Linked DNA regions of Anolis sagrei. The protein of the gene in region 1 purifies or fractionates together with the protein of each later gene. This does not show direct contact. Links are inferred from orthologs where the notes say so. Each region holds a gene or a part of one and is shown on either strand. Other genes may lie near its edges.

Region 1 (8,328 bases):
CTGGGAAGTAGCAGCCAATAGTGAAAGGACCAAGGCAGAGACATCTCCAGCTCATCCCTTGTTTGGCTATCAGCCAGCATGTCAACGACTCAAATCAAGAAATAGTTTTCTAAGATCTACAGAGACACTCGCTGGAACACCTCAGCAAGCGAGAGTTCAAAAGTGGCAGGCTCAAACCCAGCACCTCAATCCATGGGTGATACCAGATGAGAGACTCCCCCCTGGGCACACAGAAGACTGGGAGACTTGGAAGGCACTGAACAGACTGCGCTCTGGCACCATGAGATGCAGAGCCAATCTTAAGAAATGGGGCCACAAAGTGGAATCCACGGCATGCGAGTGTAGAGAAGAGCACACCACTGACCACCTGCTGCAATGCACCCTGAGCCCTGCCACATGCACGATGGAGGACCTTCTTGCAGCAACACCAGAGGCACTCCAAGCGGCCAGATACTGGTCAAGGGACATTTAATCAGCTACCAAGTGTGCAAAATTTGTGTTTTTGTTTTTTTTTATCTGTTTGTTTGTTTTGTTCTGTTAGAAATGTAATACAATGTTCTGGTTGCGGATGACACGATAAATATAAATAAATACTCCGAACTCAAGAATGGAAAATGGAAAGTTGGTAGGCAGGAAAAGAGATTGAAAAGTGGACTCAAAGCCAACCTTAAAAACTCTGGCATAGACACTGAGAACTGGGAAGCCCTGGCCCTTGAGCGCTCCAGCTGGAGGTCAGCTGTGACCAGCAGTGCTGTAGAATTTGAAGAGGCATGAATGGAGGACGAAAGAGAGAAACGTGCCAAGAGGAAGGCGTGTAAAGCCAACCCTGACCGGGACTGCCTTCCACACATATATATATATACACATACACTCTTATACATATACACATGCACATACACACATATATATACACATCCAAGCACACACAAATATACACACATACATCTACATACACACACATATATGTATATACACATGCACCCACAAATATACACATACACACATATATAAACACAAATATGCATATAGACAAGCACACATATACACACAATATACATATACAAATATAAACATACAAATATATATACACATACACTATTATGCACACATACATACACGTGTGTATGTGTGTATATATATATATATATATATATATATATATATATACCCAAGCACACACAAATATACACATATACATTTACATACACACACATATATAGACATGCACACATAAATACACACATATATAAACACAAATATGCACATAGACAAGGGCACACATACACATAATATACATATACAAATGTAAACACACATGTACTCTTATACATATACACATGCACACATACACACACACATAAACAATTATGCATATAGACAAGCACACACATATACACAATATACATATAAGCACACAAATATATATATGCACACATATATACACATCTACACACACATATATATATACATATACATATATATGGGTATATCTGTGTGTGTGCATATGTATGTGTGTGTAGATGTGTATATATGTGTGCATATATATATTTGTGTGCTTATATTTGTATATATATAAATTGTGTATATGTATGAATATATATAAATATATACACGTAAATACACATACATACACACAAATATAAACAAATATGCATATAGACAAGCACACACATATACACTATATACACATACAAATATAAACACACAAATATATCTATGCACAGATATATACACATCTACACACATATACACCCCCATATATATATGGGTATATCTGTGTGAGTGCATATGTATGTGTGTGGAGATGTGTATATATGTGTGCATATATATATATATATATATATATATATTTGAGTGTTTATATTTATGTATATTGTGTATATGTATGAATATATATATATATATACACGTAAACATACATACACACATATATAAACAAATATGCATATAGACAAGCACACACATATACATAATATACATATACAAATATTAACACACAAATATATATATATATATATATATATATATACACACACACACACACACACACACATATATATATGGGTATATATGTGTGTGTGCATACACATCTACACAGATCTACACACACTCACACATATATATATATATGGGTATATCTGTGTGTGTGCATATGTATGTGTGTGTAGATGTGAATATATGTGTGCATATCTATATTTGTGTGTTTATATTTGTTTATGTATATTGTGTATCTGTATGAAAATATATATATACACGTAAACACATACATACACAGATATATAAACAAATATGCATATAGACAAGCACACACATATACACAATATACATATACAAATATTAACACACAAATATACATATACACACATATACACCCATATATATATATATATATATATATATATATATATATATACACACACACACACACACACACATATATACATATATATATACACATATACACACACACACACACGGGTATATCTGTGTGTGTGCATATGGATGTGTGTGTAGATGTGTACATTTGTGTGCTTATATTTGTATATGTATATTGTGTATAAGTATGAATAAATACACGTAAACACACATATACACACAGATACACAAATATATATAGACACACACACACACTAAACACACATATATACACAGATACACAAATATATATAGACACACACACACACTAAACACACATATACACACAGATACACAAATATATATAGACACACACACACACTAAACACACATATACACACAGATACACAAATATATATAGACACACACACACACTAAACACACATATATACACAGATACACAAATATATATAGACACACACACACACACTAAACACACATATACACACAGATACACAAATATATATAGACACACACACACACACTAAACACACATATATACACAGATACACAAATATATTTACACTAAACCCACATATTACACACTAGGACACAGCAACGCGTGGCAGGGGACGGCTAGTACAAAATACAAATAATATTAACCAAATATGTAATATAATAAAATAAACAAAATACAAATTAATACAAACAAATGGTTAAATGAATTAAACTATCACTAAAACAATATATTTTCGAAAATGAGAATCCTCTCTCTCTGTCTCTCAGTCTCCCAGACTCACTGTCGATGTCCTGGATGAGGCTGGCCGTCCCCGGCATGTAGTTCATCTTGGCCCCGGAGCCCTCGCCTGAGTGGGCCTGCGACGGAGCCTGCTGCCCGGCTCCCGGCCCGGAAGCACACGCTCCGCCCGGGCAGGAAGGAGAAGGAGAGTACGGCATGGGGGCGGGGCCGGGGAGAGGGCGGGGCCGGACTTAAGTAGGCGGGGTTTGCTCAGGAGGGGCGTGGTCTCTCGAGAAGGGGGCGGGGCCTACCCAGAGGGGGCGGGGCGGGAGAGAAATGGCCTAAATAGACTATGTCCCTCCACTTTGCTGCTCCACTTTTTAAAGTCATAATATCCCTGTTATAATCAGACTGGAAGTAAACACCAAGGTTACAACAACATAGAATCATAGAATCAAAGAGTTGGAAGAGACCTCATGGGCCATCCAGTCCAACCCCATTCTGCCAAGAAGCAGGAATGTTGCATTCAAATCACCCCTGACAGATGGCCATCCAGCCTCTGCTTAAAAGCTTCCAAAGAAGGAGCCTCCACCACACTCCGGGGCAGAGACTTCCACTGCTGAACGGCTCTCACAGTCAGGAAGTTCTTCCTCATGTTCAGATGGAATCTCCTCTCTTGTAGTTTGAAGCCATTGTTCCGCGTCCTAGTCTCCAAGAAAGCAGAAAACAAGCTTGCTCCCTCCTCCCTGTGGCTTCCTCTCACATATTTATACATGGCTATCATATCTCCTCTCAGCCTTCTCTTCTTCAGGCTAAACATGCCCAGTTCCCCAAGCCGCTCCTCATAGGGCTTGTTCTCCAGACCCTTGATCATTTTAGTCGCCCTCCTCTGGACACATTCCAGCTTGTCAATATCTCTCTTGAATTGTGGTGCCCAGAATTGGACACAATATTCCAGATGTGGTCTAACCAAAGCAGAATAGAGGGGTAGCATTACTTCCTTACATCTAGACACTATGCTCCTATTGATGCATGCATAGTGCATGCATCTATTATAGAACTCCAGTATGCTGATGACAACGTCATCTGTGCACATTCAGAAGAAGACCTTACTTAATGTATTGTCGAAGGCTTTCATGGCTGGAATCACAAGGTTCTTGTGGGTTTTTTCGGGCTATAGGGCCATGTTCTAGAGCAGTGGTTCTCAACCTTTCTAATGCCACGAGCCCTTAATACACTTCCTCATGTTATGGTGACCCCCAACCATAAAATTAGTTCCATTGCTACTTCATAACTGTAATTTTGCTGCTGTTATGAATAGTAATATAAATATCTGATATGCAGGATGCATTTTCATACACAGGACCAAATTTGGCACAAATACCCAATACACCTAAATTTAAATACTGGTGGAATTGGGGGAGGATATTGATTTTGTCCTGTGTGAGAGTTGTAATTACTGGGATTTATAGTTCACCTACAAAGAGCATTCTGAACTCCACCAATGATGGAATTGAAACAAACTTGGCACACAGAACTGCCATGACCAACAGAAAATACTGGAAGGGTTTGATGGGCACTGACCTTGAGTTTTGGTAGTTGAAGTTCACCTACATCCAGAGAGCACTGTGGACTCAAAACAATTATGGATCTGGACCAAACTTGGCACAATTTCTCAATAAGCCCAAATGTAAACACTGGTGGAGTTTGGGGAAAATAGACCTTGACATTTGGGAATTGTGGTTTCTGGGATTTATAGTTCACCCACAATCAAGGAGCATTCTGAACACTACCAATGATTGAATTGGGCCAAACTTCCCACACAAAACCTCCATGACCAACAGAAAATACTGTGTTTTCTGGTGTTCTTTGGTGACCCCTCTGACACCCCCTTGTGACCCCTCCAGGGGTCCCGACCCCCAGGTTGAGAAACACTGTTCTAGAGGCATTTCTCCTGATGTTTCGCCTGCATCTATGGCAAGCATCCTCAGAGGTAGTGAGGTCTGTTGGAATTAGGACAATGGGTTTTTATATCTGTTGAATGGCTGGGGCAAAGAGCTCTTCTCTGCTGGAGCTAGGTGTGAATGTTTCAACCAACCATCTTCATTAGCATTTGAAGGCCTGGCTGAGCCTGGGAAAATCTTTTGTTGAGAGGTGTTTAGATGTGCCTGGTTGTTTCCTCACTGCTGTTTTGCTGTTGTAATTTTAGAGTTTTTTAATACTGGTAGCCAGATTTTGTTCATTTTCATGGTTTCTTCCTTTATGTTGAAACTGTCCACATGCTTGTGGATTTCAATGGCTTCTCTGTGTAGTCTGACATGGTGGTTGTGAGAGTGGTCCAGCATTTCTGTGTTCTCAAATAATATGCTGTGTCCAGGCTGGTTCATCAGGTGCTCTGCTATGGCTGATTTCTCTGGTTGGAGTAGTTTGCAGTGCCTTTCATGTTCCTTGATGCGTGTCTGGGCAATGCTGCTGCGTTTGGTGGTCCCTATGTAGACTTGTCCACAGCTGCATGGTACACGGTAGACTCCTGCAGAGGTGAGAGGATCCCTCTTGTCCTTTGCTGAACGTAGCATTTGTTGGATTTTCTTGGTGGGTTTGTAGATAGTTTGTATGTTGTGTTTCCTCATCAGCTTCCCTATGCGGTCAGTGGTTCCCTTGATGTATGGCAGGAACACTTTTCCTCTGGGTGGATCTTCATCTTTACTCTCGTGGCTTGTTCTTGGTCTTGCAGCTCTTCTGATGTCTTACTTACTTAAGCAATCCCTCATTGGACGAGTAAGATGGTCTTCCTTGATGACTATTTTTGTGGATTCGTAGGTGGCTGTGGAGCCCTATTCTTGACCCGCATCTTCTCCCACAGTGAAGGCATTGGTTTCCAGGTGGAAGGCGGTCCTGGTCAGGGTTGGCTTGACGCGCCTTCCTCCTGGCACGTTTCTCTCTTTCGCCCTCCACTCGTGCCTCCTCGAATTCTGCAGCACTGCTGGTCACAGCTGACCTCCAGCTGAAGCAGTCAAGGGCCAGGGCTTCCCAGTTCTCAGTGTCTATGCCAGAGTTTTTAAGGTTGGCTTTGAGCCCATCTTTAAATTTCTTTTCCTGTCCAGTTGGTTTGTTTTTTCATTTTCTTTGGAAGACGCCTGTGCGTGGGTTTTTTTTAATGTGTGGAGGTCAGTGCACAACTGATCGACACACAGTCTTCACAGAGTGAGGTTCCACTGGTGATGTAGTTTGACACAATAACCGTGGCTTCTCAATCTGTTGCAGCCTTCTTCCGCCTTCACAGCCGTTGTAACATGTACCATGTTATCCTCTGCCTGCTCCGCCGTTGAGGTCTTTGAGTCTTCGGACTGTGCTTGGTCTGGAACCTCCCCTGCGGCCACTCCTGGGAGTGCACGATTCCAGTCGTTGTGCCCACAGGTTCATTGGAACACGCAAGCCCCCTCACCACGACAAGGTGACAGTCCATTGAGGGGACCTACAAGTCACTCTAAACACCTTTGCAGAAGCATATGAGAAACTCAGCCTGTCACTGAACATCGAGAAAACCAAAGTCCTCTTCCAGCAGTCACCGGCCAACCCCTCTCCAATGCCAGAAATACAGCTTAATGGTGTAACATTAGAAAAAGTAGACAATTTCCGCTACCTTGGCAGCCCTCTCTCCACAAAAGTCCACATTGACACTGTAATTCAACACCGCCTGAGCTTTGCAAGTGCAGCATTTTTCTGAATGAAGCAGAGAGTGTTTGAGGACATCCGTAGGGATACCAAGGTGCCCCAACTCTGGCAGTCTTTAGGGTTTTATATTGCTGACGTGCTACTTATTATGGCATTTAAAATGTCTGTATTAGAGTCTAAGTTGTATTGTCGGCAAAATCTATAGGGGTTGCTCTCGAAAATGTGCAGGATGGAGTTGCCTAGGTTGATTGACCACCGTATTCTCCATTCTCCAACATGGATTCTGAAGTTCTAAACAGGCAACAGAAAGTCCTCGATCTTTGCAAAGGCTGGCAGATGGAACTCCAGCTGTGCTGCAATGATTTCACACTTTGGTCCTTGGAAAACTAGAATCTCTTCCCAAGGTCCAGGGCACCTTGGCCAGGCTCTTCCCTGAAGTCCCATGGGGGAACCGCATCAAGTCCCCGGGTCCAGAGCTTGGCAGAGGCGAGAGGCAGCGAGGAGCGATGAAGCAGCAGCCATGGAACCAGCATATTTGGCAATCAGCTGTTTCTAATAAAATATATTCTCAAAACTTGAGAGGTTATTTCCTGAGCGTAGGGGTCCAAAATAAGAAAAGTGAGATGGCAGACAAGCTTAGAATTTAGTGCAGAAAAATAAGACATTAAAATGGAGCCGATCCGCCATTTTGTGGATATGGAGATCTGAAAGGAAAAACTCCGTATCCGCGGTTTCAAGCGGCGTGGATTCGGCGTCCCCGGAACGCCAGGAAGGCATTCCGGGCAGGCTCGCAGTCCCCCGCGGCCTGGAAAAGGTTGAATTCATGCATTTAGTTAGTTCAGGCAAGAAGTGACACAAAGTATCAAGCTAGAAAGTTAAAAAGTTGCAATTTCAAGTATCTTTATTAGGGGAATAGTTACAATGTTAGGGCTTGGGGAAAAGTGATAGAAAGGCACAGAGGCTTGGTACAGTCCCTGTTTGAGCTGTCTGTTGGGGCACATTTCTTCAGTTTGTTCCAATTTGGGCTTCCAGGAACTGCGGAACTCTCCGCTGCGGGTCAGACCAACTTGAAGGTGGGGGTCTCCACTGCCCTCGATGACATCAGGTTGAATCATGTTCAGATGAAATCTCCTTTCTTGTAGTTTGAAGCCATTGTTCCACGTCCTAGTCTCCAGGGAAGCAGAGAACAAGCTTGCTCCCTCCTCCCTGTGGCTTCCTCTCACATATTTATACATGGCTATCATATCTCCTCTCAGCCTTCTCTTCTTCAAGCTAAACATGCCCAGCTCCTTAAGCCGCTCCTCATAGGGCTTGTTCTCCAGACCCTTGATCATTTTAGTCGCCCTCCTCTGGACACATTCCAGCTTGTCAATATCTCTCTTGAATTGTGGTGCCCAGAATTGGACACAATATTCCAGGTGTGGTCTAACCAAAGCAGAATAGAGCATGGGGAGCATGACTTCCCTAGATCTAGACACTATGTTCCTCTTGATGCAGGCCAAAATCCCATTGGCTTTTTTTGCCGCCACATCACATTGTTGGCTGTCCACAAGGACTCC
Region 2 (8,139 bases), on another chromosome or scaffold:
CCCTATTAGAGCAAGTTAAGTTTCTGGACCCAATTCAAAGTGCAGGTTATCACCAATAAAGCCCTATACGCTTTGGGTCCAACCTATCTTCGAGGCCGCATTGAGATCTACCAGGAAGGCTATTTTCTCAGTCCCACCACCCAGGTACGAGAGGGCCTTCACCATGGTGGCCCGCTCCAGCTCTGGAATACCCTCCCAAGAGAGATTAAGTTAGCTCCCACTCGCCAAGCCGTTTGGGCTAGTTTAAAAACATGGCTTTTTAGGCAGGCTTTCGACTTTGTATAATTTATTGTCAGAGTAAGAATTCACCGATTGTTCACTCCGGGCACTTATTTATTTACAACATTTTTACCCCCATCCCAGGGGGAACTTCTGACAACCCAGCAGTTCGAAAACATGCAAATGGGTGTAGATCAATAGGTACCACTCCGGCAGGAAGGCAACAGCGCTACATGCAGTCATGCTGGCCACATGACCTTGAAGGCGTCTATTGATGCCAGCTCTTCACCTTACAAATGGAGATGAGCACCAACCCCCAGAGTCAGACACGACTAGACTTAATGTCAGGGGAAAACCTTTACCTATTCTTTGCCTATATAAAGGTTTTAACCTTTAAAGCCCTAAACAGTTCTGGCCCAGACTACCTGTCCGAACGTCTCTCCTGTTATGAACCATCATGAAGTTTAAAATCTTCAGGAGAGGCCCTGCTCTCGATCCCACCACAACCGCAAACGCAGTTGGTGGGAACAAGAGATAGGGCCTTCTTGGCAATGGTCCCCCGTCTTTGGAATTCTCTCCCCAGGGACATCAAGCTGGCCACCTCCCTCCTGTCCTTTAGAAGAAAACTGAAGACTTGGCTGTGGGACCAGGCATTCGATTAGTGGACAGTGGCAACTGGAAAGAAGACTTAGGATACCCCTGATATTGAATTTACCCAGACTTGGATTTGGTTTTAATCTAGCATGTTTAATCTATTGTTTAAATGCATTATTTTAATGTTTTAATGTATCCGTTATATGGTGAAAGCATAATACGGTGCTTGTGTGAGGCCACCCTGAGTCCCCCCTCGGGGGGAGAAGGGTGGGGTAGAAGTGTGGGTTGTTGTAGGCTTTTTCGAACTACATGGCCATGTTCTAGAGCCATTTTTTCCTGACGTTTCACCTGCATCTACGGCAAGCATCCTCAGAGGTAGTCAGGTTTGTTGGAACTAGGAAAAAGGGTTTATATATCTGTGGAATGACCAGGGTGGGACAAAGGACTCTTGTCTGCTGGAGCTAGGTGTGAATGTTTCAACTGGTCACCTTGATTAGCATTGGATGGCCTGGCTGTTGTTTGGTGTGGCTTGTTGGTGCCTGGGGCAATCTTTTGTTGAGAGGTGATTAGATGTCCCAGATTGTTTCCTGTCTGTTGTTTTGCTGTTGTAATTTCAGAGTTTTTAATACTGGTAGCCAGATTTTGTTCATTTTCATGGTCTCCTTCTTTCTGTTGAAATTGTCCACATGCTTATGGATTTCAATGGCTTCTCTGTGTAGTCTGACATGGTGGTTGTTAGAGTGGTCAAGCATTTCTGTGTTCTCAAATAATATGCTGTGTCCAGGTTGGTTCATCAAGTACTCTGGTATGGCTAACTTCTCTGGTTGAAGGAGTCTGCAGTGCCTTTCATGTTCCTTGACAAATTCATTCTTTTACATGTTTATGTATTGTTGTTTTATGTATGGCGCTTCAAAGTTCTTCTGTGAGCCACCTGAGTCCCTTCAGGGAGATGGTGGTGGGGTATAAATAAAATTATTATTCTTATGCTGCCTTTCTCTCACAATAGTACCCAATGCAGCTTCCAGAAACAACTCATTTCTTATTACATAGTGTTGTGATGTGAGCACTGAGATTTGGCTTTAGAGCAGGCTTAAGCCAACGTGTTTCCTCCAGTGGTTTTGGACTTCAACTCCCACCATTCCCAACAGCCTCAAGCCCCTTCCTTTCCCCCCTCAGCTGCTTAAGCTTTGAACTGGATTATATGGTAGACCAGGCATGGGCCAACTTGGACCCTCCAGGAGCTTTGGACTTCCAACTCCCACCATTCCTAACAGCCTCAAGCCCCTTCCTTTTCCCCCTCAGCTGCTTAAGCTTTGAACTGGATTATATGGTAGACCAGGCATGGGCCAACTTGGACCCTCCAGGAGCTTTGGACTTCCAACTCCCACCATTCCCAACAGCCTCAAGCCCCTTCCTTTTCCCCCTCAGCTGCTTAAGCTTTGAACTGGATTATATGGTAGACCAGGCATGGGCCAACTTGGACCCTCCAGGAGCTTTGGACTTCCAACTCCCACCATTCCCAACAGCCTCAAGCCCCTTCCTTTTCCCCCTCAGCTGCTTAAGCTTTGAACTGGATTATATGGTAGACCAGGCATGGGCCAACTTGGACCCTCCAGGAGCTTTGGACTTCCAACTCCCACCATTCCTAACAGCCTCAGGCCCTTTCCTTTGCCCCTGAGGGCCTGATCTACCATATAATACAGTTCAAAGATTAAGGAAAGAGTCTGGGGCTGTTAGAAATTGTGGGAGTTGAAGTCCAAACCCCCTGGAGGGCCCAAGTTGGCTCAGGCTTCCTTTAGAGACCGGGGTTCAAATGCTTGCTCAGCCATGAGGCCCACTGGGTGACCTTGGGAGTCAGACACCCGCTCAGCCTTAAAGGAAGGCAAACTCCCCACTCTGAACAATCTTGTCATGGAGTTGCCTTAGGTCGGAAAGGACAATATAAAACGCATTAAACCCGAAAGGGCCAAAGCTGCTCGAAGAGGGGAAGGCCGAAGCCACAGGGTATAAAGTGGCAGAATGAAGAAAGGCCGCTTGTCTTTCATTCAGGAAAGGGCTGTACCAAGAGGCGCGAAGGTGGGGGGGGGGGGCAGAAATGGGCCTTTCCAAGAACCCCTCCACAAAGGAAAGGAAGAGGAGCAGCAAAGCCTCGTCTCTGACCCCTCCCCCGCCGCCAAAAAAACCAAACAAGCCGAGTGGAACGTTCCGAGCGCGAGAGCACAAACAGTTGGGCGCGCGCTCACCGCCCTCCCTGACTTCTCGCCCTCAGTCACTCACCCGCGCCCTCTGACGTCCGCTCACCGTCTCGAACGCCTTCCCCGAACGAAGAACGACGGCGATGATGGATGATAGGCTGCTCGCCGAACCAATCAGCGCTTTTCGGCTTCACGTGGCAGCGACGGTGGCCAGCGCAGGCCAAAACTCTTCGGTGATGGAATTTTTGATTGGAGGCTGTTCTTTCTTTCTTATGTTTGGGAAAGGAGAAGCTTTGGGCCCATCCACACAACCCTATATCCCAAAATATCAAGGCAGGAAATCCCACAGTATCTGCTTTGAACTGGATTATCTGAATCCACGCTTGGATAATATGGGATTTTCTGCCTTGATATTCTGGGATATAAGGCTATGTGGAAGGGTCCTTTGCTTCTGAGGGCCCTTCCACACAACCCTGTATCCCAGAATATCAAGGCAGAAAATCCCACAATATCTGGGTTATCTGAGTCCACACTCAGATAATGTGGGATTTTCTGCCTTGATATTCTGGAATATAGGGTTGTGTAGAAGGGCCCTGAGTCAAGAGCCCCAAGGGCCCTGAGTCTGGGCACGACAATTGAAGAGTGATATTAACAAGCTGGAATGTGTCCAGAGGAGGTCGACTTAAATGATCAAAGGTCTGTAGAACAAGCCCTATGAGGAGTGGCTTAAAGAGCTGGACATGTTTAGCCTGCAGAAGAGAAGCTGGAAAGGAGACATAGAATCATAAGAGTTGGAAGAGACCTCATGGGCCATCCAGTCCAACCCCCTGCCAAGAAGCAGGACTATTGCATTCAAATCACCCCTGACAGATGGCCATCCAGCCTCTGTTTAAAAGCTTCCAAAGAAGGAGCCTCCACCACACTCTGGGGCAGAGAGTTCCACTGCTGAACGACTCTCACAGTCAGGAAGTTCTTCCTCATGTTCAGATGGAATCTCATTTCTTGTAGTTTGAAGCCATTGTTCTGTGTCCTCGTCTCCAGGGCACCAGAAAACAAGCTTGCTCCCTCCCTGTGGCTTCCTCTCACACATTTATACATGGCTATCATATCTCCCTCAGCCTGAGGGCTGTGTATAAATACATGAGGGGAAGTCATAGGGAGGAGGGAGCAAACTTGTTTTCTGCTGCCCTTGAGACTAGGATGCGGAACAATGGCTTCAAACTACAAGAAAGGAGATTCTGAACATTAGGAAGAACTTCCTGACTGTGAGAGCTGTTCAGCAGTGGAACTCTCTGCTCCAGAGTGTGGTAGAGGCTCCTTCTTTGGAGGCTTTTAAACAGAGGCTGGATGGCCATCTGTCAGGGGTGATTTGAATGCAATTTTCCTGCTTCTTGGCAGGGGGTTGGACTGGATGGCTCATGAGGTCTCTTTCAACTCTAGGATTCTATGAAAAGGCACGCAGAGTATGGGAACATTAATAAGCAGCCCCCCCCCTCCTTTATTGAATTATTGAGCATGCAAAATAGTGGAATGTGTGTGCTGTAGAATTAATGCAGTTTGACACCACCTGAACTGTCATGGCTTCCACACAGCTGAATAAAATCCCACATCTGCTTTGAACTGGAATATATGGCAGTGTGGACTCAGGTAACCCAGTTAAAAGCAGATATCTTGTAATTTTCTGCCTTGATATGGCTGTGTGGAAGAGCCCTAAATGTTATGGAATCCTGGAAGTTGTAAACTCTTAAGGCTCCTCAACTATTTAGCAGAGAAGGCTAAATAGCGTGTAAAACTACAATTCTCTTTATTCCATAGCATTGAGACAGGGCAGTACAAGTGGTGTCAAACTGCATTAATTTCCAGTGTAGATGTACTTCAAGGTCCCTTCCACACAGCTATAAAATCCACATTGAACTGGATTATATGGCAGTGTGGACCCATAATCCAGTTCAAAGCAGATATTGTGGATTACCTGCCTTGATATTCTGGGTTATATGGCTATGCGAAAGGACCCATAGTCTTCAGGTTAGACTATGTTTTGGACTTCCAACTCCCAGCATGGTCAACTGTCAGGAATTATGGGAGCTGAATTACAAAACTAGAAAAGATTGAAATTAGTGAAATAATAGTTGTAATGAATTACTCTAATAACCTGCTTTTGTCAGAAGGTGTGTTCAAGAAGGGGGATTATGTCCCAGCATTCAGAAGCTTAATTTTTTCAAAAAACAAAACAAAAACTTTGCACACTTACATGGTCTGCAATTGCTTGTTCCAAATTTGACCCTTTAGCAGCTTCTCCCTAAACAAATCAGAAATAATAATAAATCACATCTCGCTTTATCTCTTGATTGAGGACCCTTCCACACAGCCATATAATCCAGAATATCAAGGCACAAAATCCCACAATATCTGCTTTGGACTGGGTTATCTGGGTCCACAATGCCATATATTCCAGTTCAAAGCAGAAAATGTGGGATTTTATTCAACTGTGCGGAAGTGGCCTGAGATGCTAAGAAAGGTCACACTGATTCCAACAGAATTTCTTTTATTAAGAAACACACATGAAGGATTGGACTCTGTATCACAATCCTATGTATGTTTTACTCACAAGCAGAACCAACTCAAGCAGCTGAGTTTCAGATTTCATACTCCACCAGTTTCATATTTCAAGAAATAAAGTGCTTGTGGGATTTCCTGTCTCACTAGTCAATATACATGGCCTTGGGTACTCAGCACTTTGACTTCAGGCAGACTAATTCACTATTATGTATATTTAAGACTGCATACTCATGAAGCATTATACCTGAGAGAATAACTTGTAAACCAATGAGATAGCTAACATGTCAAATAAATCATTCTGGCATTGAACTGGTATTGAAAAACCATGCAAAATCAAATATTTGTGCACAATTCCTGCAGAAAAGAAGTGACAAAAAACCTCAAGTAGATGTTAGGAGAATTGAAGATTTTGGTGAGAAATCTCTGTGCATTAGAATAATTTAAATGTCACTGCAAACGATATTGTTAGTTTAATTGTCTTTCCCCCATTTAGAAAATAATTATTGTTTAGAAAAAAATACTGTCTATAGGATTTTTAGATTTGTGGATGCCTGAAATTCTGGGCTGGCAAACTTATTTTCTTATACATACTATCAAGAGTGCATCTGCACTGTAGACTTAATCCAGTTTGATACCACTTGAACTGCCATGGCTCAGTGCTAAAGAATCTTGTGGGTTGTAGTTCTACAAGGTCTTTAGTCTTCTCTCCCAGGCTGGGACCTCTTCTACACTGCCATATAATCCAGATTATTAAAGCAGAGGATCCACATTATCTGCTTTGGACTCGATTATATGAGTCTACACTGCCATATAACCCAGTTCAAAGCATATAATCTGGATTTTATATGACAGTGTACAAGGGCCCTAGATCTACACTGCCCTATAGCCCATGATCAGATCCCAAATTATCCTCTCTGAACTGGGTTATATGAGTCTCCACAGCAATACAATCTGGAGTAAGCAGATAATCTGGGATTCGGTCATGGGATATAGTGCAGTGTAGAAGGGTCCCCAGAAAGTGCTGGTGCCTCACCAAACTACAACTTACAAAATTTCAAAGCATGGAGCCAAGTCAATACTTTAGTAAGGATGCTGAGATACAGATATTTCTAATATAGAGGTGTTTTGTTTTGCTTTGATCTACATTGCATTTATTTAGGCAAATGCTATAATGATGGCAGTATGAGGAGAGCAGCACTAAAGGCACTATCACAAAAGTTACAGGTAACCCGCATGGCCATATATCCATGAATGAAATATGGCCAGACAGCTTGTATGCAAATCCCACTCAACTGCATAACCTTTGCTCTCTATTACATAAGTGACTATCTCTTGAGTCATGGTCCGAAAGTATTTCTTGTTTACTACGTAATTTCCATTAATTTTTATTATTTAGTTCCTCTGCCAAGCAAAGCAGGAAGGACACTCTGAGTGCTGGGATGATTGTAGTTTTTCTCTCTGGAGGATTGATGTCAAGGGAAATGAGAGTAAACAGTCTGAAAAAGCCCGCAGTTTCATGTCTGGCCAGAAGAGGAAGCAGAGACAATGCCTTGGGTATTGTTATTTTTTTTTTTTGTTCAAGAAAATTGATTTTAAACAAAAGGCACAAATAATTCAGAAAGTTTTCTGCATAAGCTCTGCAGAAAACCTTTTGCACCATTTCCATACATTTCATTATTGGCTGTGCGCAAGGCAGGAGTGTGGAAGAAAGGGATAGGTAAAGTGTGGCAAAATGCATTATAGCCAATAGGCAATAGAAGTAAATATACTATAGCTCAGGCATGGGCAAACTTTGTCCCTCCATGTGTTTTGGACTTCAACTCTCACAATTCCTAACAGCTGGTAGGCTGTTAGGAATTGTGGGAGCAGAAGTCTGAAACACCTGGAGGGACGAAGTTTGCCTATGCCTGCTGTAGCCAGTGAGACAGATAATATAATAAATTCAGTTTATTTTAGCTTAATAGGATCAGTAGTCAATATCCTAGTCAATGCTATATTAATTAAAAGCCATTTAAATGCATTCAGGATTAATTTCTATATAAATATGATTTTTGCAAATCTGTGAATAATCTGCAAAAGTCAAAATTGCAAATATGAAGGGCCAACTGTAGATCACATCAAGGAAAAACTGAAGCTGTTGAACATTTTCCTGTTAGATCACTATTTAGAAGCTCTACATGATGAAAAGGTCGGAAACTCATTTCGGTCTGACACACGAAAGACAACTGTGAGAGCTGTATGTGGCTGCCATTATCTAATGAACAGGGCAGCACTTAACATTTTTTTGATTTGATAAATGTAATTCATTCATTCCTGTGCTTTTCCAGCCCAGTCAATCTCATTTTATTTGGATCACTTATTCTGTAATTTACATTTTATGAGGAAAAATTATCCGTGAGATATTTCTTGGCCCTATCATCATTTCTAACATATTTCTATGAAAGCAATTAAACCACATTTTCAAATATTGTACGACATTTTGTGGCCCCCTTATCCACAGATTTAGTATCCACGGTTTGACTCAGCCACACTATAAAGCCTATTTCCCCATTAATGTTTGTATGGCTCTCTA

What was found. Proteins that work in one complex are often made in the same cells at the same time.
Region 2: the proteins of LSM1 (region 1) and LSM6 purify together in Homo sapiens (co-immunoprecipitation; 3 studies listed by BioGRID and IntAct, counting the BioPlex papers as one, with this or other methods). This does not show direct contact. The link is inferred for Anolis sagrei from reciprocal best matches to the Homo sapiens genes LSM1 and LSM6.

The regions. Positions count from the first base shown.
Region 1 is NC_090027.1:10,448,034-10,456,361, reverse strand, and holds the start of LSM1 (U6 snRNA-associated Sm-like protein LSm1), read right to left. Parts: upstream 3,310-8,328; 5' UTR 3,202-3,309; coding exon 3,156-3,201; intron 1-3,155. UniProt on the Homo sapiens protein: Plays a role in the degradation of histone mRNAs, the only eukaryotic mRNAs that are not polyadenylated. Probably also part of an LSm subunits-containing complex involved in the general process of mRNA degradation.
Region 2 is NC_090025.1:47,640,055-47,648,193, reverse strand, and holds the start of LSM6 (U6 snRNA-associated Sm-like protein LSm6), read right to left. Parts: upstream 3,174-8,139; 5' UTR 3,091-3,173; intron 1-3,090. UniProt on the Homo sapiens protein: Plays a role in pre-mRNA splicing as component of the U4/U6-U5 tri-snRNP complex that is involved in spliceosome assembly, and as component of the precatalytic spliceosome (spliceosome B complex).